Rattus norvegicus: one gene and its partners. The protein of the gene in region 3 purifies or fractionates together with the protein of the main gene of each other region. This does not show direct contact. Links are inferred from orthologs where the notes say so. Each region holds a gene or a part of one and is shown on either strand. Other genes may lie near its edges. The genes, in order: Tdp1, Aptx and Lig3.

Evidence for each region.
Region 1: the proteins of Lig3 (region 3) and Tdp1 purify together in Homo sapiens (affinity purification with mass spectrometry; 4 studies listed by BioGRID and IntAct, with this or other methods). This does not show direct contact. The link is inferred for Rattus norvegicus from reciprocal best matches to the Homo sapiens genes LIG3 and TDP1.
Region 2: the proteins of Lig3 (region 3) and Aptx purify together in Homo sapiens (affinity purification with mass spectrometry; 3 studies listed by BioGRID and IntAct, with this or other methods). This does not show direct contact. The link is inferred for Rattus norvegicus from reciprocal best matches to the Homo sapiens genes LIG3 and APTX.

Annotation. Positions count from the first base shown.
Region 1 is NC_086024.1:124,914,555-124,921,688, forward strand, and holds part of Tdp1 (tyrosyl-DNA phosphodiesterase 1), read left to right. Parts: intron 1-56; coding exon 57-149; intron 150-4,440; coding exon 4,441-4,608; intron 4,609-5,048; coding exon 5,049-5,127; intron 5,128-6,387; coding exon 6,388-6,573; intron 6,574-7,047; coding exon 7,048-7,096; intron 7,097-7,134. UniProt on the Homo sapiens protein: DNA repair enzyme that can remove a variety of covalent adducts from DNA through hydrolysis of a 3'-phosphodiester bond, giving rise to DNA with a free 3' phosphate.
Region 2 is NC_086023.1:60,614,172-60,621,900, reverse strand, and holds the start of Aptx (aprataxin), read left to right. Parts: upstream 1-3,110; 5' UTR 3,111-3,248; intron 3,249-7,729. UniProt on the Homo sapiens protein: DNA-binding protein involved in single-strand DNA break repair, double-strand DNA break repair and base excision repair.
Region 3 is NC_086028.1:68,226,943-68,234,076, forward strand, and holds part of Lig3 (DNA ligase 3), read left to right. Parts: intron 1-83; coding exon 84-239; intron 240-1,813; coding exon 1,814-1,945; intron 1,946-2,461; coding exon 2,462-2,541; intron 2,542-3,290; coding exon 3,291-3,378; intron 3,379-3,727; coding exon of another isoform or gene 3,728-3,802; exon of another isoform or gene 3,803-3,830; coding exon 3,831-3,908; intron 3,909-4,142; coding exon 4,143-4,266; intron 4,267-5,176; coding exon 5,177-5,319; intron 5,320-5,644; coding exon 5,645-5,719; intron 5,720-6,086; coding exon 6,087-6,233; intron 6,234-7,039; coding exon 7,040-7,134. UniProt on the Homo sapiens protein: Isoform 3 functions as a heterodimer with DNA-repair protein XRCC1 in the nucleus and can correct defective DNA strand-break repair and sister chromatid exchange following treatment with ionizing radiation and alkylating agents.

The DNA of each region.
Region 1 (7,134 bases), on a different chromosome or scaffold from region 3:
ATCTGTTTATTTGGAAAATTCTGTTCATGATTTTGTTCATCTCACTCTCTCTGAAGGAAAATGATGCTCTTGCTCTATGAAGAAGGCCTCCGAGTCGTCATCCACACCTCCAACCTCATCCGGGAAGACTGGCACCAGAAAACCCAAGGGTTCGTAGGACCGTGCGCTGCATGGCAGTCCTTTGTGCTGGGATAGGGTCATGACAAACGTTACTCGATTTCCCCTTTTTCTTTGTTTTTCTGTGTGTATAAGTAATGCGCGTGTGTGTAGGAAAGAGGCATACCAGAAGCAGTCATGGTTCTTCGCAGTGCACAGCGAGTGCCCTACCTGAGCAGCACCTCCATCCCCACAAACCTCTGCCACTCTGGCCTCCATCCTACTCTCTTGAAGTAGCCAGTGTTCTCAGCCTGGTGCAGTCATCCGTAACTATCTACGGGTACAGAAATATTTACGTGCACGTGTTTTGTAAAATGTATTTATTAACACCTTTTATTGTTTGAGAATTTCACACATGCATATAATGTGTTTATTTGGGGGTTTGTTTGTTTGTTTTTTATCACATCTACCCCTTAGCTCCTCCCATCTGCCCCCTCTCAACTTCACTTGCTCTATTTATTTTTAAAGCCCCCCTGTGTTCCCCTAGTGCCACCTGTGTATTCATGGGAGTAAGACCATATACTGGGCTGGGAGGGCTGGGTAGAGAAGTAGGTTTTGGTGTCTTTGTTTAATCACGGCATGCATGTTGTGTACGTATAGGCACACATGTGCCACCATGCACTAGATCAGATGACAACCTAGAGTGCTAGTCCTCAGCTTCACCCTTGTTCAATGCTGCTGTGTACACCAGGCTGGCTGACACACAAACACGTGTACACCAGGCTGGCTGACACACAAACATGTGTACACCAGGCTGGCTGATACACAAGCACATGTACACCAGCCTAGCTGACACACAAACACGTGTACACTAGTCTAGCTGACACACAAACACATGTACACTAGTCTAGCTGACACACAAGCATGTGTACACCAGGCTGGCTGACACAGGCACGTGTACACCAGGCTAGCCGGCACACAAGCATCTGGAGAGTGTCCTGTCCCCACCTCCCGTCCTGCCATAGGAGCACTAGGACTATGGTTGTAAGTCACCTTGCCTGGTGTTACCTGGATTCTGAAGATCCAGAGGGAGGTCCTCACACTTGGACAAGTTCAGTAACCGTTATGTCCTCTCCCCAGCCCCACTGAGCCATTTCACCAGCTGAAGGGTTTGTTTTTTAAGAAGAATTTTTAGGGATGTGTCCAACTCAAATTCAGCTACCTCTCTCCTCCTTGGTTAAGAGCTTTACTTGTTTTTCTTTCATTGAAGCCATTTCTGTATATCCCTGCCTTCCTGGGAGAGCACTGGCTAAGGCCTTCTCCCTCGTAGAACATGCAGGCATTGCATAGCTCCATTGCAGGTTCCCAGTGTGCTTTGCTGCTGCTCTCCCTGCTCTCATCTCCAGTGTCGCCTACACAGGCTCACTCTGACAAGCTCCTGAGCCTCACCACCCCACGGGTGAGCTGAAGTGAGGGACCTTCCAGCTCGTCCTCTGGGCCTGCTTTGACTTAGTGTGGGTTCAAAGTTTCCCGTTCCTCCCTCTTAAGCCATGCTTCTCAGGATAGTGCCAGTCCGACTCCTGCAGCATCAAAGGGGTCTCTGCCCTGTCTCTTAGAAGCCTTGGCCACAGGACTTGCGCCACCACATCCCCTCAGCTACCCTCCTCCACCCACAACACACACACACACACACACACACACACACACACACACACACCCCTCTGTTTCTTAATTTTAGATAGAATCTTTTGTGTATCTCATGCTGGCTGGGAATTCACTATGTGGCTGTTTAGCCCAAGCTGGTCTTGCTTTACCTTCCAAGTGCTGACTAACAGGATTTTCTTTCTTTCTTTTTTTTTTTTTTTTTTTTTTTTTTTTTTTTTTTTTTTTTTTGGTTCTTTTTTTTTGGAGCCGGGGACCGAACCCAGGGCCCTGCACTTCCTAGGCAAGCGCTCTACCACTGAGCTAAATCCCCAACCCCCAGGACTTTCTTGATCTGCTGAGTCTTTTGTCCATTCTGCCCAGTGCCCAGGGAGATCGCAAGCCCAGACCTCTCTGAGCTGCCGACTGAGCCTGGGGAATCAATCCTACTTAGCCTTGTCTGAAAAGGGTGTGGAATTTAGTTAAGTGTGTTCATGGGGAAACAGGGATTATGAAACCAGATTTATAAAGGTGACCCCCCAGTCGCAGGTGCCTCTCAGAACCTCGCTAGTGCCTACAGCTCGTTCTGGACTTGTGAACTTGAACTTACGGGCAACAGCGCTTCCTGCGGCTTCTCAACTGATGCCATGAGGGAGGGTAGGAGAAGTGGGGGTGTGGCTGGCACTTTATTCCTTTCTTTAAAAAAGAATCTAAAAGCATATTTCCTAGATTGTATAGTTCAAACTCAAAGTAGATAGGAAATTTCCCTCCATCTTGCCTCTGCCGGGCACCTTCATACAAAGCCTGTTGCCCTCTGCTTGTCTGCTCTTGATTCTGATACTTTGCAGTTTCACACTGAGGTTAAAGAAACAGCAGAAAAACCCTGAAACCCTAAAGATGGCTGAATAGTAGAGAGCGCCTGCTACTCACTCTTCTTGCAGAAGACCTAGGTCTGGTTCCCAGCTCCCGTAGATGTCTCACACCATCTGAATTCTCTTGCCAGTTCCAGGGGATCCAACATCCTCCCTGGCCTTTGTAGGTACCTGCACACACGGTGCACATACACACATGCAAATGCTCAGAGACATGAAATTTTTAAAAATCTTTAAAAGAAAAAAACCTTTACAGACACTCATTGCAGTCCCCCTTGGTGGTTTGCCTTAGCCGTGCTTGCCCCTCCGGTGTCGGTGTTCAGCTGTCCATCTCAGCTGTGACTTGAACCCTTGTCACAGCTGCTGGGGTCGAGAGTTGCAGCAGCAGTTAAGAGCACTTGCTGCTCTTGCAGAAGTGCCAGATTGGCATATCCTAGCAGCCACCTCAGGCAGTTCACGACTGTCTGAAAGTCCAGGTCCACGGGATCGGATGTCCTCCGCTGTCCTCTGGGCACCCGTATGCATGTGGTACACATACCTATATTCAGGTGCACACACACTTCAAACTAATAAATGTACGTTCCACATTATTCATCCCACCGTAGTGTTCTCATATCTCTTCACAAAGTATTAAAACGTGCCTCCTATCTTAGTAGTCTAGTTAGGAAGTTATTTCCCATCATGGTTTTTATCCAAAACATACCCGTAGTGAGCCATTTGCTCTTTGGCTCTGAGGGATCGATGGGAGGATACCTCACACATCTAGCCTAGCTGGTCACTTTCCTGGCAAAGAAAGTTCCAGAAAAGTCTGACTTCAATGGCAAAACCAGCTAGACACAGATGTGGTCCAGATGTGGGCTCCCACCTTAGGCAGACCTGTCTGTCCTATACTAAGTTCCTCCTGAGATAAGCAGGGGTGAATGAAATGTCACTCTGTGGGGAAGGCATAGGCTTCAGATGTACAGCCAAGCGTTCACATTCAGCCACCTAGCATCCTAGTAGCCCAAAGCTCATCAGCATCCACGGAGAGCAGCTGTGTGAAAGAAGAATCAGGCCATTTCTGTTTGGTGTTGGTGGGAAGAACTACTGGGGAATTAGCTATGGAAGTGAAAGACAGTGACAGCAAATACAGTCTGGGGCCTGACACAACCAACCATTGCCTCTTACAGGTCCTGGCGACAGCCCTTTGAGGCTGAACTCTTAATCTGGTTTCGCCCTAGAAGAACCTTTAGTCCTAGAGGCTCAAAAACCACAGTGTTTTTGTAATCTATCTGTGTCATACTGTATTGTATCTTTTGGGTTTAAACATGGTTATTTCCAATTTGTGGGTATGTTGTCGAAGTTAGGGCAAATGCATTGTTTCTTTGGGGAAAGGAATTGATCAGAAGGAAGATGTAACGTTTCATCACTGTTACAGCTTAACCTTTTGAGGCTGATGTTAAATGTGTTACATGTTCCAGGCATCAGAAAGTACAGGGTATGGAAATATCTTAAACCACTACAGAGTGTTCACTATAAAAAAAGTTTTCTTACTTAAAATAAACTTGCATATATATTTTTCTTGGTATAGATAGCTTTTGATTCTTAATTTGGCTGAAGCACTACACTGATAAGGACATGGTTTTACATAAAGAGACAGCATTCAGAAATAATTCTATGATGGGGGTATTGGATCACTGTGATCAGATCTGGTTCCTCCCGCCAGAAACCACTCCGTCACCACTTAAAGACAGTGACAAGAATTTACCTCTTGCTTTGGGTGAATGCATAATCAGTACAGGGGTGGTGTTGCAATCAGAGCTCCTGAGTGTTAACTTTTTTCCCATTCCAGAATATGGTTGAGCCCTTTGTACCCACGAATTTACCAGGGAAACCACACATCCGGAGAGTCAAGCACCCATTTCAAAGCGGACCTCACCAGTTATTTGATGGCGTATAATGCCCCCCCTCTCCAGGAATGGATAGACATCATCCAAGAACACGATCTCTCTGAAACCAAGTATGTGTCTCCTTCCAGTACGGGATCGAAAAGGGACTCCTGGCTTGCAAGCTACACAAGCCTGGAAGACAGAGAGAGGCCTTGGGAAGGAAGGGGTGGGGTGATATTTGTGCTGCAAGAGAGGGTGAGGGGGTGAGAGCAAATCTGTTCACACTGTGTCTCATGGTTCCTGGGCATCAAGGTGGTAGTGGGCCTTACGCTCCCACTGGGGAGATTGTCGAGTCACTGGATTCTTCACCGGGAACCTTACTGCTAGTGTCCCGCTCTTAACTGGTTTAGCTAAAAATAAACTTCAGAGTAACAGTCACTGTGCAGGAGGCCTGCCCCAACAGTGACTTGGCTTCTTGACCTCTTCTGTTATGTTAGTTTTTATGTGAATTGTGGGTTTGGGGTGTCAAAGCACAACTTGCATATTATTTACTGTATCTTACTTTATTTAGTGTTTACCTTATTGGTTCAACCCCTGGACGCTTTCAAGGAAGTCACAAAGATAATTGGGGACATTTTAGACTTAGAAAGGTAATAAAACTTTTAGTATTTTAACATTTAAAATAATTTAATGTGTATTCTTTCTCCCTTTTAATTTATGATGGATCCCCACCCCAGATTCAAATCTCAACCTGTGATATACAAGCCTTGTGGTCTTGACTTGTTCTTCAGCCTCCCTCTTGTCATCTGTAAAATGGACAGAATTGCATCTGGTAGTGATGTAAAATAGAGTGTTCTGGAAGCAGGGGAACGTGTGGACTAATGGTGTCCAGCCTAGATAATAGAATGCATTTGCGTAACCACAAATCCTGCACGTTCAGCAGGATCTGCAGTTTTCAAGCCACGTAACACAGGGCTTTTGTCAGATCTCAGCATTTCTCAGGAGCTGAGCCCACAGTAGAGACTGGGTCTGAGAGCTGTCAGTTTACTTCTGTTTCCTACAGCACGATGCAGCTGGTGGAAATTGTGAAATTTGTGCATGTGTGCCTGTGTGTAAATATTAAGGCCTAAGCTGTGGGAAAGAAGGCAATGCCTACCAAAGTGGAAATAGCCTCAGTGAGACTGAGTTCCACTGGGGCAGGGGCTGCCGCATTCCTCTCGCTGTGCATGCCTAAGTGAGTAAAATACTTTCCAAATACTACTGTTATTTCTCAGTTTGCCTAAGTGTCGAGGCAGGAAATGGGGATCAACCTTCTGCAGTGCTTTAGGGGCTCATTTCCATATGTAAATATCCCGTCCATATTAGGCAGGCACTCTGGAGGCCAGGGATTTTGTCTTTACTCCCCCTGCTTCCTTGAGCCCTTGCACATGCTAGGCTCCTGCCTTCCGCTGTGAGGGCACGCCCCAGCCCTGGAGTGCATGCCATGCTGAGGGATATGCTTCTCTCAGAAGGAACGAGCCAGAACCACAGTGGTTTCGTCGTGCTGGTTTACTTTATGGATATTAGATGATTATGATTTCAGGGTGGGTTCATCTTGATATTTCTGCCAAGATAGGTCTTTTAAAGTGATTTATTCTGCTTTTGTATGTAATGCAAATCAATTACTTTTAGAAAGAGACTTTTCCTGTCCACATAGTGGGTTTAAAAAAAACAAACAAACAAACATATTTTTAGTATTTAAAAAACCGTTTTCAAAGAAGAAAGACCATTTCTGCAGACATGATGTGGATGGCTAGTACTTCCAGGGTTTCCTCGTAAGCTCGGCGCCCGAGGGCGCAGCCCGTGTTGTAGGCGTTTCAGTTATCCCTGTCCACACTCTGACTGCTGTCCTTGCCTTTCTTCCGGAGCAGCTTCTGCAGGCGCATGCGCCATCTGCACCCAGGGGCGAGTGCTGGCCCGTCGTGGGTCAGTTTTCAAGCATTGGCTCCCTGGGGCCTGATGAATCCAAGTGGTTGTGCTCAGAGTTTAAAGAGAGCTTGCTGGCAGTGAGAGAGGAAGGCCGGACCCCGGGCAGAAGCGCAGTTCCTCTTCATCTGGTGAGCCCTCTTGCTCCAAGACAGTCTTCCCTGTCATAGACCATAGCGGGTGACGGTGCGGGGGATGGCCCCTCAAACAGCCACAGACTTGCTTTTCCATTCTTTCTTCCCAGTCGTTAAGCTAAGGTAAGAACCACTAGGTCCACCACTGCAGCTGACGAAGCTCTGTCAATTATGTCGAGATGATTGATTTTACATTTAATTTGATATTAATGCGGCAAGTCAGAGGAAAAACACTTAAAGTGTAATTTCTCATCAGTTATTTATATTCTCCCAGGAGCTTAGTTACCAGTTTAGTTGTTTTTTTTTTTTTCAGTAAGATGGGGATTTTCTTTTAAGATATGATTCCTAAGTATTTTGGTTTAACATCTTTCATTAAAATTTCCATTTTCTTAAAAGCTAGTCAACATTTCTTTCTTTCAACATGATTCACACCAAGTTTTCTTGTTTTTGTCTTTTCTTGCTTATTTTTAGATCTATCCCTCTGTGGAAAATGTGCGGACCAGCTTAGAAGGATATCCTGGTAACTGCTTGGGGACTTAGTTGTGGTTCTCTGTATAT
Region 2 (7,729 bases), on a different chromosome or scaffold from region 3:
GAGCACCATCCCTAGTCATCAGGGAATTGTAAATCAGAAACCGTTGTGGGTGGCTGCTTTCAACCACAAAACCAGCCACAGATAACAAAGTGTTGGCAAGCGCACAGAGAAACTGTGTCTGGGCACTGTTAGGGGAATGTAAAGCCATGCAGCTGACATGGAAAGCATTGTGACTGTTTTCAAAGTATTAAAAATAAAACGGCCCTGGCTGGGAGATGGCTCAGTTGGGAAAGTGCTTGTCCCAGAGGGCCCATCACCTAAGTTTAGGTCCCCAGCACCCGTGTAAAAGAGCCCAATGTACTAGCCGATGCCTACGACCCCAGTGCTGCGAGGCAGACAGGATGCTTCTGGAGCTTATGGGCTAATCTAACCTAACTGGTGAGCTCAACGTTCAACGAGAGACACCATTTTAAAAATTAAGATGGATGCCTGGCATGGTCACTGCCCTCTATTCACGGTAGAGGCAGGCAGATCTCTGTGAGTTTGAGGCTAGTCTGTTCTACTACAAAGAGTTCCAGGACAGCCGAGGCTACACAAAGAAATCCTGTATCAGAAATCAAACAAACAAACAAACAAACAACAAACAGTCCCAACCCAAAAAGAAACAAAACAAAACAAAAATTAAGGTGGGGAGTGAGGGCAACATTTAATATATATAGTCTTCTGGCCTACACACTTCACTTGCTCAGAACACACACACACACACACACACACACACACACTCACACACACTATGTGACACAACAATCCTGCTTTCCAAAGTATCTGAAAGCAGATCTTGATGTTTTGAATATCCATGCTCATAAACGTAGCATTATTCACAAAAGTCAAAAGACAGGAACAACCCAACAGTCCCAGCACTTGGGAAAACAAAAGCAAAATTGGGTTTAGTGGTGCTTGCCTTTAATCCCAGTACTCAAGAGGCAGAATTTATTTTGTGAGTTCAAGGCCAGTTTGGTCTACATAAAAAGTTTCTGGACAGCCAGAGGTATAGTGAGGCCCTGTCTCACAACAACAACAACAACAACAACAACAACAACAACAACATCAGCAACAAACTGAAGCAGGAGGATCAGAAATTTAAGGCCATCTTTTAAGGCCTTGACACTGTCTTTAAGAAATGGAGGAAAAAGGAAAATGAGAAAGAATAATATGTGTGTTGGGTTGGCTAGATGGGTCAGTAGGAACACTGGTTACTCCTTCAGAAGATCTGGGTTCTATTCCCAACTCACAGTCTCTTATAACTACAGTTCCAGGGAATCTGCCTTCTGCTGGCCTCCTCAGACACCAGGTACACACATGGTGTACAGACATACATGCATGCAAAACACCCATACACATTAAAAAAATCAATAAATTAAAAAAGAAAGAATATTTAAAATAAAACCCAAAGAAAAACATTAGCCTTAAAAAGGAACTTTTGACGTGTGCCACATTGTAGATGAAACTTGACACCAAGCTAAGTGAAATAAATTAATTACAAAAACCAATACTTCATGATTTCATTTAAATGTTATTTCCAGGCTGGTCAAACCCATGGAAGTTAAGAGAAGAATAGTGGAAGACAAAAATTAGTAGTTGTTTAATTCATAGAGAAGCTGAAACAGGGAGCTTAGTCCCCAAACAATGTGAACCCCAATGATTGTCTTAAGTGCCTACCCTTAACCATGGATTGTTCTAGACAACCTTGTTTTTCTGGTCAGTGCACTGCAGACAATGGATTAGACCTAATACAGTGCCTATGAAAACCCTGACCAATTTTGTACAAATGACCCGGTTTAATTTTTAGCTGTAAGAGACACAATGGAATCTGCGTAGAAGCCTTGGCTAAGATGTTTAATCCTGAGGGAAAATGTAAACTGTCAGGTCACCAGATCTGCCTCCGTATCTTAAGCAGTTGTGGACCGAGTTCTCAGCCTTGAGGCTTGCACAGCTTTTGATGCCTCCTCCCTTCCCGCTCTGATCCTAACATACACCCGCATCTTCTCTGCCAACAAAAGCACATCTTTCTCTTGTTCCCAGGAACATCCTCCCATCCTGTCTTGTCAGCTCTATTAGACTAGTGGAGCCCGCTTTTCCACGGAAGGAAACAATAGCAACCCATCTGACCAAGAAACAAAAGAGCTCCTAGCTGAGAATGGGGGTGAAAGCCTGTTATCCTAGTATTTCAGAGGTAGGGGAAAGGGGAATCTTGAGTTTGAGATTAGCCTAGGGTACAGTGAAACCTTGTTTTCTAAACAACCCCCCCCCCAAAAAAAAAAGACTCTGAAAGGTTCAGTTTCTACTGCGTTTCAGATTCTACACTCTGATGTACTCACGAGATAGGAATTCTTTCATCTGCCAAGAAGTCTTTGGTGATTTACAATACAAGACTTTTAGGGAACGTCCTGGAATTGCAATAAAAATCAGTACAAATATGTCATCCCAACCTCCTGCCTTGCTGATTGCCCTCAGTTAATTTAGTGAAGACATCATAAAAAAAAATCTTAGCAGGGTTCCTCTGTCTCTCTCTTTAGTCTTTTTCTCCTTAGAGAAGGAAAGTGTAATTTGAACGTGAGTGGTTGGTAAAGCACTCCAGCTTGTAGCTTAACCGATGGCTTCAAAGCTGTGTTTGGTAGCTCGCACCTGCAATCCTAGCACTGGGGAATCTAAGGCAAGAGGAGATTCTGGCGAGTTCAAGGCCAATTTGGGCTACAGAATGAATTTGTCTCACTACCTCCAACCTCGTTCCTTCCCTTTCAAAGATGGCTTTAACATATAGCAAGCTTCCTGAGGAGGAAGTGCTAAGAGACGACTTGGCTGCATAGAAAAGCCACAGGAGATTGCTGTCTGAAATCTCTCCGGATTCAGACCCTGGGAGGCTATGACAGCTAGATGCCTCAGAGAAGGCAAAGGAGTTATCTTCACGGGAAACAACTAGCTGCTACGACCACTTTTCGACCAGGGTATCCGGCAAGAGAACGTTTCGGCCAATTCTGGAAAAAACTCTGAAATCATCACCAGTTGCTAGGCAGCAGTTTGTGACATCATCTTTCAGCACCGGAAGCGGCGAGGCGCAGCGGAGTAGCGTGGAGGTTTGTAAGTGTGCAGTCGAGGTAAGCTAGTGGTCGGCCTGCTTTCGTAGCTGGTTGGGTTAGAAGCCAGCAGGGGCGTTTGGCCGGGGCTGCTAACCCGGAGCGGATACCTTGAAGGTGGAGTTCGAGGTTTCCTTCTGGGTGGACCAAGCCCCACCCTTTCGTCCTGTTCAGGTGGGCGTGTTTCAGAGTTTTGGTTTCCGCCTCATTGTTCCGACCTCTCTGACTCCCCGCCCCCCATCCCCATCCGACTCTTGTACCTAGTTGGCTGCAAGATCTGCTTGAAAAGATTTATAGATAAACAGTGGACACTGTCCGTGCCAACGGGGCTGTTCTGTTTCTGCCAGAAACGCCTTCCAAGAGTAACTTGAGGCGCCCTAGCAGTGTCCTCAGCGGGCCTTAATAATGCCGGAAGCAGTAAGGCCTTTTTCATATAGTGCAGAGACTGATTCAACAAAGCTGGGGCTTTTGAAATTACATCTATTTGGAATTGATGGAGAATACTTTGGAGGAGTCGATATGTATTGGGGATTTCGTAAGAGTCCCAGCATCCCCACTAGCCCAGCTGGCCTCAAATTCCTGATCCCCTTGTCCCTACCTCCCAGTGATGGGATACAGGCCTTGTACATTTTTTTTTTTTTCAAGATGGTTTACAGTATGTAGAGTAGTATGACCTCAAACTTCTGGATATCCTGCCTGTGCCTCCTTAATACTGAGACTGCAGACCTCTGTCATAGAAATCTTTTTACAGAATTGTTTATGTGGGAAAGAAATGCATATTTGGTTTTTATACTTTTTTTTTCCAAGATGATCTTTGTAAGGAAATCTTTGTCCAATTCCTGCTTGGTTGTTAGTGACTTGTTTGCTGATATGTCGTCCCCACACCTCCTATTCTTTAAGCAAGCATTCACTGACTGCTGAATTTCAAAATCTATTGAAACGTACAATTTTTCAGCTGTCAGCCAGTCACATGGGGCTTTATCTGGAGCTTGTTGGGGTCTCTGGTCCCTTCTGCCTTCAGTTTTAGGTTCCACTATCACTTAATGCTTCTCCATGCACTGTGCCATGTCTTCCTGTGTTTGCCTTTGTTGTTCTCTTTGCCTAGAAATTGTCTTCCTAATCCCAGTTTCTGGTTCTTGTTGCTCAGATAGGCTGCCTACTCCTACCAAATTAATCAAGTTTATAAGCCCATCCCATCTCCAGAAAACTTTCCTTCACAGGGTACTAAGGGTTTGTATTTCTATAATACTCTTTCTACAGGCAAATCATACCCCACTGATTATAATTATTTCTGGGTCTTCTGTGAGATTGGAGGCTTTTGAAAGGAGGACATATGCATTAGCTCTTGACTCCCAGTGCTAGAATAGCATGAAGCACATAGTAGGCATGAAAAAATCTTGATTGAGATTGAGTGAGTGAGCCCCCAAACAGTATCGTGTAGTAGTTAAGAACCCATTCTTTGGGGGTTGGGGATTTAGCTCAGTGGTAGAGCGCTTGCCTAGCAAGCGCAAGGCCCTGGGTTTGGTCCCCAGCTCCGGAAAAAAAAAAGAAAAGAAAAAAAAAAGAAAAAAAAAAGAAAAAAAAAAGAACCCATTCTTTGGAAAGAGTTGAAATTCTAACTCTGGCACAGAGTCTTGGTTGCTTGACACGGTACTTACTTGTCTGTGCCTTAATTTTCCATAGTGAAGGTGAGACCTTGTAAATGAGACATTTAGCATAGTACCCACTGTGTAGAATGTCTTAATTTTTTTTTTTTTACATTTTTATTTTGTGTATGAGTGTTTTGCCTGCCTGCATGTACCATGTGCATGCAGTGGTCATGGGGGGCAAGAAGAGGGTGTTGGATCCTCTTGGAACTGGAGCTATAGACAGTTGTGAGCTGCCGTGTGGGTGCTGGGAATTGAACCTGGCTCCTCTGGAAGGCAGTCAGTGCTCTTAACCACTCAGCCATCTCCCCAGCCCTCCCCCCCTCTCGCCCCCCATGTAGTATGTTCTTAATAGGTTATGCTGAACACCTGGGATCCTGGGATACAAGAGCAGGCCAGCAGCAGTCTTCCAAGACTTTTCTTCCATGTTTCTCGAATGGGGATACAGAGGGGAGTTCGTTCCTAAGGCTGTGAGAAGATGACAACTCCATTGGCCTCCAAGGAGATGGGACCTGAAATCTAAGATTTGGGTCTCTAGGAAGGAGAGAAGGATAAGTCAACATCAGAATACCATGCTTAGAATGATGATGTCTGTGTGTGTAAAGGTGCCCGCGTGTATGTCTGGGGAGGGAAGAGTGAGAAGGATGGCCACTGGGGCCAGTTCTGTGAAATAAGTAACCTCTGAGGAATTAGAGGCTGACAGTCTTAAATTCAAGTCTCCACAGTCACTTGTGCTTAAATTAATTGGAAATTCAGCTCCATACTTGTGCTAGTGGCCCTTCAGAAGCTCAGTGCTAACAGTGCTTCAAGATAGATTTCAGGCCGCACGCCACTTGCCAAGATCATTTGGGTTCCCTAATGCGATGGTTTGTCTGTGCTTGGCCCAGGGAGTGGCACTAGTAGGAGGTGTGGCCTTGTTGGAGTAGGTGTGTCACTGTGGGGTGGGCTTTAAGACCCTTGTCCTAGCTGCCTGGAAGCCAGTCTTCTCCTAGCTGCCTTCAGAACAAGAGGTGAAATGCTCTATGTCTTCCTGGATGCTGCCGTGTTCCCATCTTGATAATAATGGGCTGACCTCTGAACCTGTAAGCCAGTCCTAATTAAATGTTGTCCTTATAAGAGTTGGTTTGGTCATGGGGTCTCCATAGCAATGGAAACCCTAACTAAGATTCCTAGGGCGGTGGTGGTGGTACATGACTTTAATCCCAGCAGGAGGCAGAGGCAGATGAATCTCTGAGTTCGAGAACAGCCTTACCTACAGAGCTAGTTCCAGGACAGCTAAGGCTACACAGAGAAACCCTGTCTGGAAAAAGAAAAACAAACAAACAAGCAAACCATAATTAATCGGGGAGTAATGACCAGTGGTGTAGTCAGCAAATGGGTCATTGCAGAAGGGAGAGGGAATGGTACAATGAACTCCTGTTTTGGGGCATTCTACTTTAAGATGAGGAACCCACCTGGGTGTGTTTGTGCACCCCTTTCATCTCACGCACTCGGGAGGCAGAGACAGGTGGATCTCTGTGAGTTTAAAACCATCCTGGTCTTTATAACAAGTTCTAGGCCTGCCCGAGGTACATGGTGAGATCCTGTCTCAAGGAAGTAAAGAGAAGGTGGAAAACCTTGAGAACTTTGGTAGAGTTATCATCTGATCAGTTATCTGCCAACATTGATTGACAGCTTGCTGATTTTTGTAGGCTCGTTATATGGTAAGGGGTAAATGCTGGAAATTACAGTGCTAAGGTAGGCATGATATCTGCTGTCATGATGCTTGCGTATAGTTTATGGAATTTTACTGGAGGGTCTGGGTAAGGTTCAGGAACAACCAGCCTTCTGTGTTCTTTTATTCTACAGTTATTAATTCCTACAAATTGGGTCTGGAGGCTCAAATGGGCCAACCTGCTGTTTAAGGTTTGTCGTGAGCATTGTGCAGTAACCGCATCGGCTTTCCAGGGAGCAGCGCATCTGAACATCACAACTTGACAACTTCAGGGAATGTGTCTGTATTTGTGGCAGAAGGGAGTGCTGTTTCCATTGTCTCGCCATGTTCCTCGCTGTTCATCGAATCCTCTCCTCCTACTCAGAAGCTGCACTGTCCACTGGCTTCTTTGTCAGTCAGAAGACTTGTTTCTCAGTACCCAGTGAGGACGCCTCACTTTCCTGTCTTACCTGCCTATCCATCAGTTTGTAGCAGGTCCAATGGATGCCCCATGGAACATAGCATTCTAAATGGGATCTGCCTGGGATCACCACTGGGCCTGGGTTTAGGATCTTAGATGAACAGCTTATCTTCATATCAGCTCCTGTCGGAGACCTGTTGAATTGTCTTTTGGACTTTCTGGTCTCTTTTAATAGCAGCTTCTGGATTAGTCTCTGATCCCAGCTTCCTGAACTCCTCTGCCTACACATAACTGTTGGCTAGGTATTCCTGGGCTTCTGCTGTTTTATCGCACTCTGACATGTAAATCTTGGCTGTTGAAGCTTAGCCTCTCGTCCTGGTGTTCTTTCCTTAAGTTTGCCCTTTATTTGAGTGACTCTTGAGGCAGCGTATCTGGGGCAGCCAAGTCAGCCTTCTCCTGACTCATGCTCACCTTGAGGAAGTCTGCACCGCCACTTGCGCCCTTTAACCTGAGATGCCTGTTTCAGTGCTTCCTGCTCAGTCCCTTTGCCTTCTGACCTTCTCTGACCTGGTAGTTTTGGAGGCCTTTTCTGACTGACAGAGAACTTTGAACTGAAGCAGTAAATTGTTAATCTGCTCTGAACTCCCTGTCTGCACTGTGTGCTTCTTGATACCACCAGCCAAAATGCTCTAGATTCTCGAATGTAAGAAACACACACACACACACACACACACACACACACACACACACACACACACACACACACACACACACGTTTAATATGCCCTAAGCAGCTCAAAGGCTGGGCCACTCTTGCTACCCCAGACCCAATCGGGGAAGTGGCCCCTGGGGCTGCTTCCTTGACCAGGGGCTACTTCCCTGACTCTTACTGGAT
Region 3 (7,134 bases):
ATTCTGTCCTGACAATCCCAGCTCCAGGCCCGGCTGAGGAGCCCCTGTTGAAGGGCTCTAACATTTGCTTTCTCCATCCCAAGGCTGAGGCCTGCAAGTCCATTGAGTATGCAATGAAGAAGTGTCCCAATGGCATGTTCTCTGAGATCAAGTACGATGGTGAGCGAGTCCAGGTGCATAAGAAGGGAGACCATTTCAGCTACTTCAGCCGCAGTCTCAAGCCTGTCTTGCCTCACAAGGTAATACCCATTCAGCCAGGACGTCTCCTCCCTGTCTCTAAAAACGGCCAGAACTGCAGGCAAGGCCTTTCTAGCTGTGTTTCACAGAGGGAAATTCATTTTTTCTGTAAATGAATGGAGGGAATTTATTCCTGCACTCTTCTAGTAATGAAGGGCTGTGCTTCTTCTGGGCTAGATTAGGGATCTAATCTAGGAAAGGTTGGATTATCATTTATTAGTTCGCTCAACAAGTATTTCTCAAATGCTGTAAACTGTAGTAGCTAGTAGACTTACTCAAGTACAAACAATAGGTAAAAATTCTGACCTTCATGAGGCTTAGAGTTGATAAGTGCACAGTATTGTGGGGCTGTCTGGGATGCTGATCCCTGTCGTGCTCAGAACTGATGGGAATTAAGAGCCTCATTCCTCAGCCCTTCTCAGCTTCCAGGGCCAGTCCTATGAGGTCTGTGGAAGAGAACCAGCCGAAGTAGCTGGCTCCAGTAGCTTGTGAGTAAATGGGATTCCCTTCTTTCCTAGTTCTCAGAGTCAGTATACTGGGGGATGTATTGTGTGGTCTAGTAGAGACAAGGTGGCTGGGCACTTATGTGTTGAGCAAGAGAGCTGAGCAGTGGTCCTGTAATGAGATTCTTGTTCCAGGTATACTGGAAACTGATCAGGAACTGCTGTGATAAGGATGGTGTTAGACAATCCCTCTTGTGACCCAGGAACATTTGAACACAGCATTCCAGAATATGCTTTCTTTACTTTCCCAAATATTGTGGATTGAATCAGGGTTTAACAGACTAGGCAAGGGCTGTACACTAAATATGTCATCAGTCTGTGCCTTTCAGTTCTTGAAGGGCTCAGTTGGGAATAGAAGGGAGTAGGGATGGAAGGGAGTAAGGATGGTCAGCCAGGTCTTTCCTCATCCTATTCCATACCTTAGGAAGTGACTCAGCTGCTCTCAGCAGAGGAATTGTGAAGCCCTCCAGACCCCACTCCTGGTACCTTTTGTCAGGAAATACCTGGAATTATAATGGGACTTCTCCCACAGAGTATCAGAAATTAGAGCTCTGGCTCTGTTAGGAAAAATCCTGTCCTCATGCTTATACTCTGAAGACAGCAGGGGCTTCAGAGCTCCCACTTAGGGGAAGGCCTGTTCTCATTCCTTGCTCTTCCCAAGGCTTTATTTGTCTGCCCTGCAACCCATCTATTTCCACATCCCAGTCCTCAGCCTGATGACACCAATCCTCTGTAATGGACACTAGTCCCCACCTGCCCGTCTCTTTCCTTCCCACTCATATTTGTCTACCTCCAGGTCCTTCCTGACCAACTCACTGTTCTTCCTTTTCCTCCAAGCCTTCTGTATAACCCATAGAAAATGACTCAGTGGGCTGACCATTTTCTGGATCTAGACAGAGGCAATAAAGCAGATAGCCTGGTACTCTTTGGGAGACCGACACAACCTAGCTGTTCATTTCACTCATTGCTTGGGATGGCAAGGTTCTCTGTGCTGTTTGAGCCTTGATCACCGTGACTTAGTTTTAGGTCTTATTGCCAAGTCAGCCTTGCCAAAGTTGCCTTTCTGCTTCTAGGTGGCCCACTTTAAGGACTATATTCCCAAAGCGTTTCCTGGGGGTCAAAGCATGATCTTGGACTCTGAAGTGCTCCTGATTGATAACAACACAGGCAAACCACTGCCCTTTGGGACCCTGGGAGTACACAAGGTATACCCTAAGAGTCCTATGTGCAAAACTTGTGCTGTCAGTCTGACAAAGGGGAGATTTGAGAACCAATTTAGACTTGAGTTGGATTTTATTGGGCATGTGTTCTTTCATCACTGTAACAAAATACCAGAGGTAACCATTCTATAAAGGAGAGGGGTTTTGTATCTAGAGGTTGCAGTCAGAGAATACAGGGGCCATAGCTTTAGATCACTAAACATGTGGCAAGCAAAGTCATTTACATCATGAACTGAGAAGCATGGAGAGAAGGGGCCAGTCCCACAATCCCTTTTGGAGCTAATGACTTATGTCCCTCCCCTACTTCACCACCCTTAGGAACAAGTCTTCAACATTTGGGCCTTTGGTAAACACTTGGGATCTCAAGTTTAGTGAGCACCATTTACAGAGTGCTCTGTGGCCTGCAGAGCACTGACAGAACTGTTCACGAGGGGCTTTTCAAATGGCCTGCTGCTCCCTTACTTGTGCCCTCATGTGCCCCCTGCCTCATTTTCTCTGCAGAAAGCTGCTTTCCAGGATGCTAATGTCTGCCTGTTTGTTTTTGATTGTATCTACTTTAATGATGTCAGCTTGATGGACAGGTGAGTTAACTAGTATTTTGACCTGTTTTGGGGTTTTTTTTTGTTTTTTTTTTTTTTCATTTTTTTGCAGTACTGGGGATGAAATCCAGGGCCTTACATGTATTAAACATATAATCAACCATTGGATTTTACTCCTGGCTACCATGTTTCAACTGAGATCCTTATCTTCACTGAAAATTTATCTGAGTTGGGCCTGTAGAGGCTTCAGTTAGGAAAGTGACAGGGATAGGGCTAAGAGTTTTGCATTTTTATCTATGAGCTTCTCAGGGATGCCATGCGTGAAACATCTAGGGGGAACTGGCTGTCTAGAGTGAGCTACCTCCAAAAGCTTGGACCTACACAGCTGATACTTGTCCTTGTGCACTTGGATTCTCCCTAATCCTGTTTCTATAGTTACAACCATGGTTATAAAAGGCTTGATGGGGTAGGATCCCGAGGCCTGTGCCAGCCTGGGGGCTAGGGATAGCACAACAATGTTCAAGTAGTCTGGGCTGGAGACTGGTGTTCTCTTGGCTCAGTAGAGAAGAGAGCACTGCTATAATCTGGCTGTGGACTACTGCTTATAGTTGTTTATCTCTAGTGCTGATGGAGTCCTTGCCACCCTTGACAGCACAGTTCATATGGGCACTTGGATCCATAGCTGTCCCTTTCCTGAAGCAACAGTTTTGTCACTGGGCACTGTCTTGTGTCAGAGTCCCTGCTTGGAGTGGGAGGGAGGCTCTTTACCTCAACTTTGCTGTTTCCCTTAGGCCTCTCTGTGAGCGACGGAAGTTTCTTCATGATAACATGGTTGAAATCCGTAACCGGATCATGTTCTCAGAAATGAAGCAAGTCACAGTAAGTGAAGTTCCTATCCTAGGCAGGGATCTAAGTGGTTTGAAAACAGAGCAGAGGGTGGAGAGATGTCTCAGTGGTTAAGAGCACTGACTGCTCTTCTAGAGGTCCTGAGTTCAATTCCCAGCAACCACATGGTGGCTCACAACCATCTGTAATGGGATCCGATGGGACAGCAACGGTGTGTACTCACATACATAAAAAATAAATAAAATCTTAAAAAAAAAAAAAGAAAAAGAAAAAGAGAGCAGAGAGCCCCATGGGGTGTGAGAGGATGAGCCTTAGGTATTCTCTGGTGGGGTGCTGATAAGTTTGCTGTTGGCCATTGCCTATGTTGCCTATTTGTCTGCAGCCTGCCTCTCAAAGCCACAGCAGCTCCAAGTTATACACAGTAGTGTATAGACATGAGCAGTCTATTCTTACGTGATCCTGCACATTTCTCCTACCACCCTCAGAAAGCTTCAGACCTGGCTGACATGATAAACCGGGTGATCCGAGAGGGCCTGGAAGGTTTGGTGCTAAAGGATGTGAAGGTAAGGTAGTAGCTATACCCGTCTTCTGCTGGAGGTGACAGGCGGTGGTTGTGGGACACGGGGAGAGCTATGTAGGAGTCTTGCCCACTCAACTGGGGCTGGCTGGTCTTGGATCTGAAAATGGCTTTGTATGTCCTATAGTGCCTAACACTGAGATTGGCCCACAGTGGTGAAAGATGAACCCCCTCTATGGAGTTTGTATTATCTTGTGATGTATTTGTTGTGTCCCCTCAGGGTACATATGAGCCTGGAAAACGACACTGGCTGAAAGTTAAGAAAGACTATTTGAACGAGGGGGCCATGGCTGATACAGCTGATCTGGTGGTTCTTGGGGCCTTCTATGGGCAAGGGAGCAAAGGTTAGTGGTGCTTGGTCCCTGGGGTGGTACTCTATCAGAAGACACACACACTGGTCTTCTTACTAGCTTGATCTGCCAGTTATGGCTTCCTTGGTCCTGGGATCTAGTGCCCTGGTCACATCAGGCAGAGATGTCTGGGAGCTTCAGTCTTACACACAGGAGTAAGAAAAGCTGATGAGAGCTCAGTGGGTACAAAGCCCTGTCCCAAGCCTTCAGACCTAAATTGATCACTGGTATCCCCTTGGTAAAAGGAGAGAACTGACTCCCACGTGCACACTGTAGCATGTATAAAGACTGGATTATGACTGGCTGCACAAAAATACACATTCAGAAAGAAAATGAATAAGAAAAATGTTTTAATAAGGGAAAAATAGGGCTGGAGAGATGGCTCAGTGGTTAAGAACACTGACTGCTCTTCCAGAGGTCCTAAGTTCAAATCCCAGCAACCACATGGTGGCTCACAACCATCTGTAATGGGATCTGATGCCCTCTTCTGGTGTGTCTGAAGACAGTGACAGTGTATTTATATATAACAGATAAATCTTAAAAAAAAAAAGAAAGAAAAAAGAAAAATAATAAAAGAAAGTTGGTCAAGAATACCCTCTGTAGTTCTGACACAAAGAAACTCAACTACCAGCTGTTTTAAGGCCTAACAGCTTCCTTCTCAGAAAAAAAATCTGTTTCTTGACTGAGGAGAAAGATGAAGTCTGAGGAACACTTGGGCAGTATGTCAGGTTGTATCTGCTCTGTGTCAGGTACTGTCCAGTTCCCCAGAGCCCAGTAAGTTGAGTGTGATTACTCGAATACTCTTGATGGTAAGGCCTTAGCTCACTCATCTTCAAGCAGTCTATCATGGGCTGGCAGAGGTGGTTCCTTCTAGCCCACACTCAATTCATGTCTCCCCTCCCAGGTGGAATGATGTCCATCTTCCTCATGGGCTGCTATGACCCCGACAGCCAGAAGTGGTGCACTGTTACAAAATGTGCTGGAGGCCATGACGATGCCACACTTGCCCGCCTGCAGAAAGAGCTAGATATGGTGAAGATTAGCAAGGTGAGGAAGGTGCCTGGTTGACCCTGGCCCTGGACAAGTCATCCTTCCTGAAACAGGCTGTGCTTTGAGGACTGAGGTCTGCAAGTCTCGTTTCTGAATTCAGAAAGGAGCTTGCTTCTAGGCTATAGGAGCAGGATTAGGCTTTTAAATCTCAGAGAGCCTGTCTTATAGAAGATGGGCCAGAGCCTCCCTGAAGAAGGAAGATCACTTGGGGTGAGAGGTCATCCTTTTTAGCTAAGTCATTTCACAGTGTTACTGCCAAAGACAAGGTTTAAACCTTGTTCCAGCACGACAGGAGCCCAAAACAGCATCTTTTCTCCTTCAGGATCCTAGCAAGATACCCAGCTGGCTGAAGATCAACAAGATCTACTATCCTGACTTTATCGTCCCAGACCCAAAGGTATTATCGCCTGATGCTTTGTGGCCCCACCACAGAAGTTAGTCCAGCTTTGCTAAGGTCCACCCAGGATAGGACTTGCATATTCAGCAAATGATAGAAACAGGGCTAACCAACCAGCCTTGAGGACTTGTCTGTCCCTAGTGGAGGGGAAGCAAATCCTTTTCCATTTGTAAAAGAGGCCTGTTCTAGAGCTAGACCTAGCCCAGACCCTACTTAACAGACAGGTTTCAAGAGGAGGTATATAACTAGCCCACAGGCCTCCTGGCAGCCACTGAGAGCCTCTGTGCTTTCACCTGCTTGACACTGTTTTGTCTGCTGGAGACTTCCTTCTTGGCCAGTGATAATCTACCTGTTTTATTCCTGACAGAAAGCTGCTGTGTGGGAGATCACAGGAGCAGAATTCTCTCGATCTGAGGCGCATACTGCTGATGGGATCTCCATCCGATTTCCTCGATGCACCCGAATCCGGGATGACAAGGACTGGAAATCTGCCACTAACCTCCCCCAACTCAAGGTGCCAGCACTTTGGCTTTCTAAGTCATCAACCTACTGTCTTGCTCTTAGAGTGTTGGGCATCTGGCCTGTTCACATGTCGTTTGGCTTATTATCTCCATCCCACAGGGACAAAGCCAGGAGAGCAGTTAAAATACCTCTCCCCCCAGCTCCCCTTCCTCAGGTCCCCTAAGAGCCTAGCTTTCCATAGTTCGACTTTACTAAGAGCTGATGTTTAGAGGCTGGAGAGATTGCTCAGCGGTTAGAGCTCTGGCTGCTCTTCCAGAGGACCCCTGTTTGATTCCCAGCACTCACACTGCAGCTCACAACTGTAATTTCAGTCCCAGAGATCTAGTACCCTCTTCTGGCCTCTGTAGGCACCAGACATTTACACATTTACATGGTGCACAGACAGGCATACACTTTTTTTTTTTTAAGAACTGTGTTTAGGTAGAATGTACTATTGCACACCTTTAGGATTCCAGCACTCAGGAGGCAGAATCAAAAGTTTCTCTGAGTTCAAAGCCAGCCTAATCTACATAGTTAATTTCAGGCTAGACAGAGCTACAGAGACTCTGCTTCAAAACAACAAAAAACCTGGTTTATCTGAGCCTATATTCTGAGCACCAGAGAGGCTGAGACAGAGAGATCTTAAGTTTAAAGCCAGTCAAGAAGTACAAAACTTTTGCCACAGAAAGTAACTTGTACCCAAATTACTCAGATTCCAGGGCCCTACATTTTTCCTTAGGTACATGTGCCAGGCAGCACTCATACCAGACACAGGTCGGGTCAGGTCAGATGACAGCACCCAATTCCCCCACTTCTTAGGAACTGTACCAGCTGTCCAAAGACAAGGCAGACTTCGCTGTGGTGGCTGGAGATGAGGGGAGCTCCACTACTGGAGGCAGCAATGGTGAGAATGA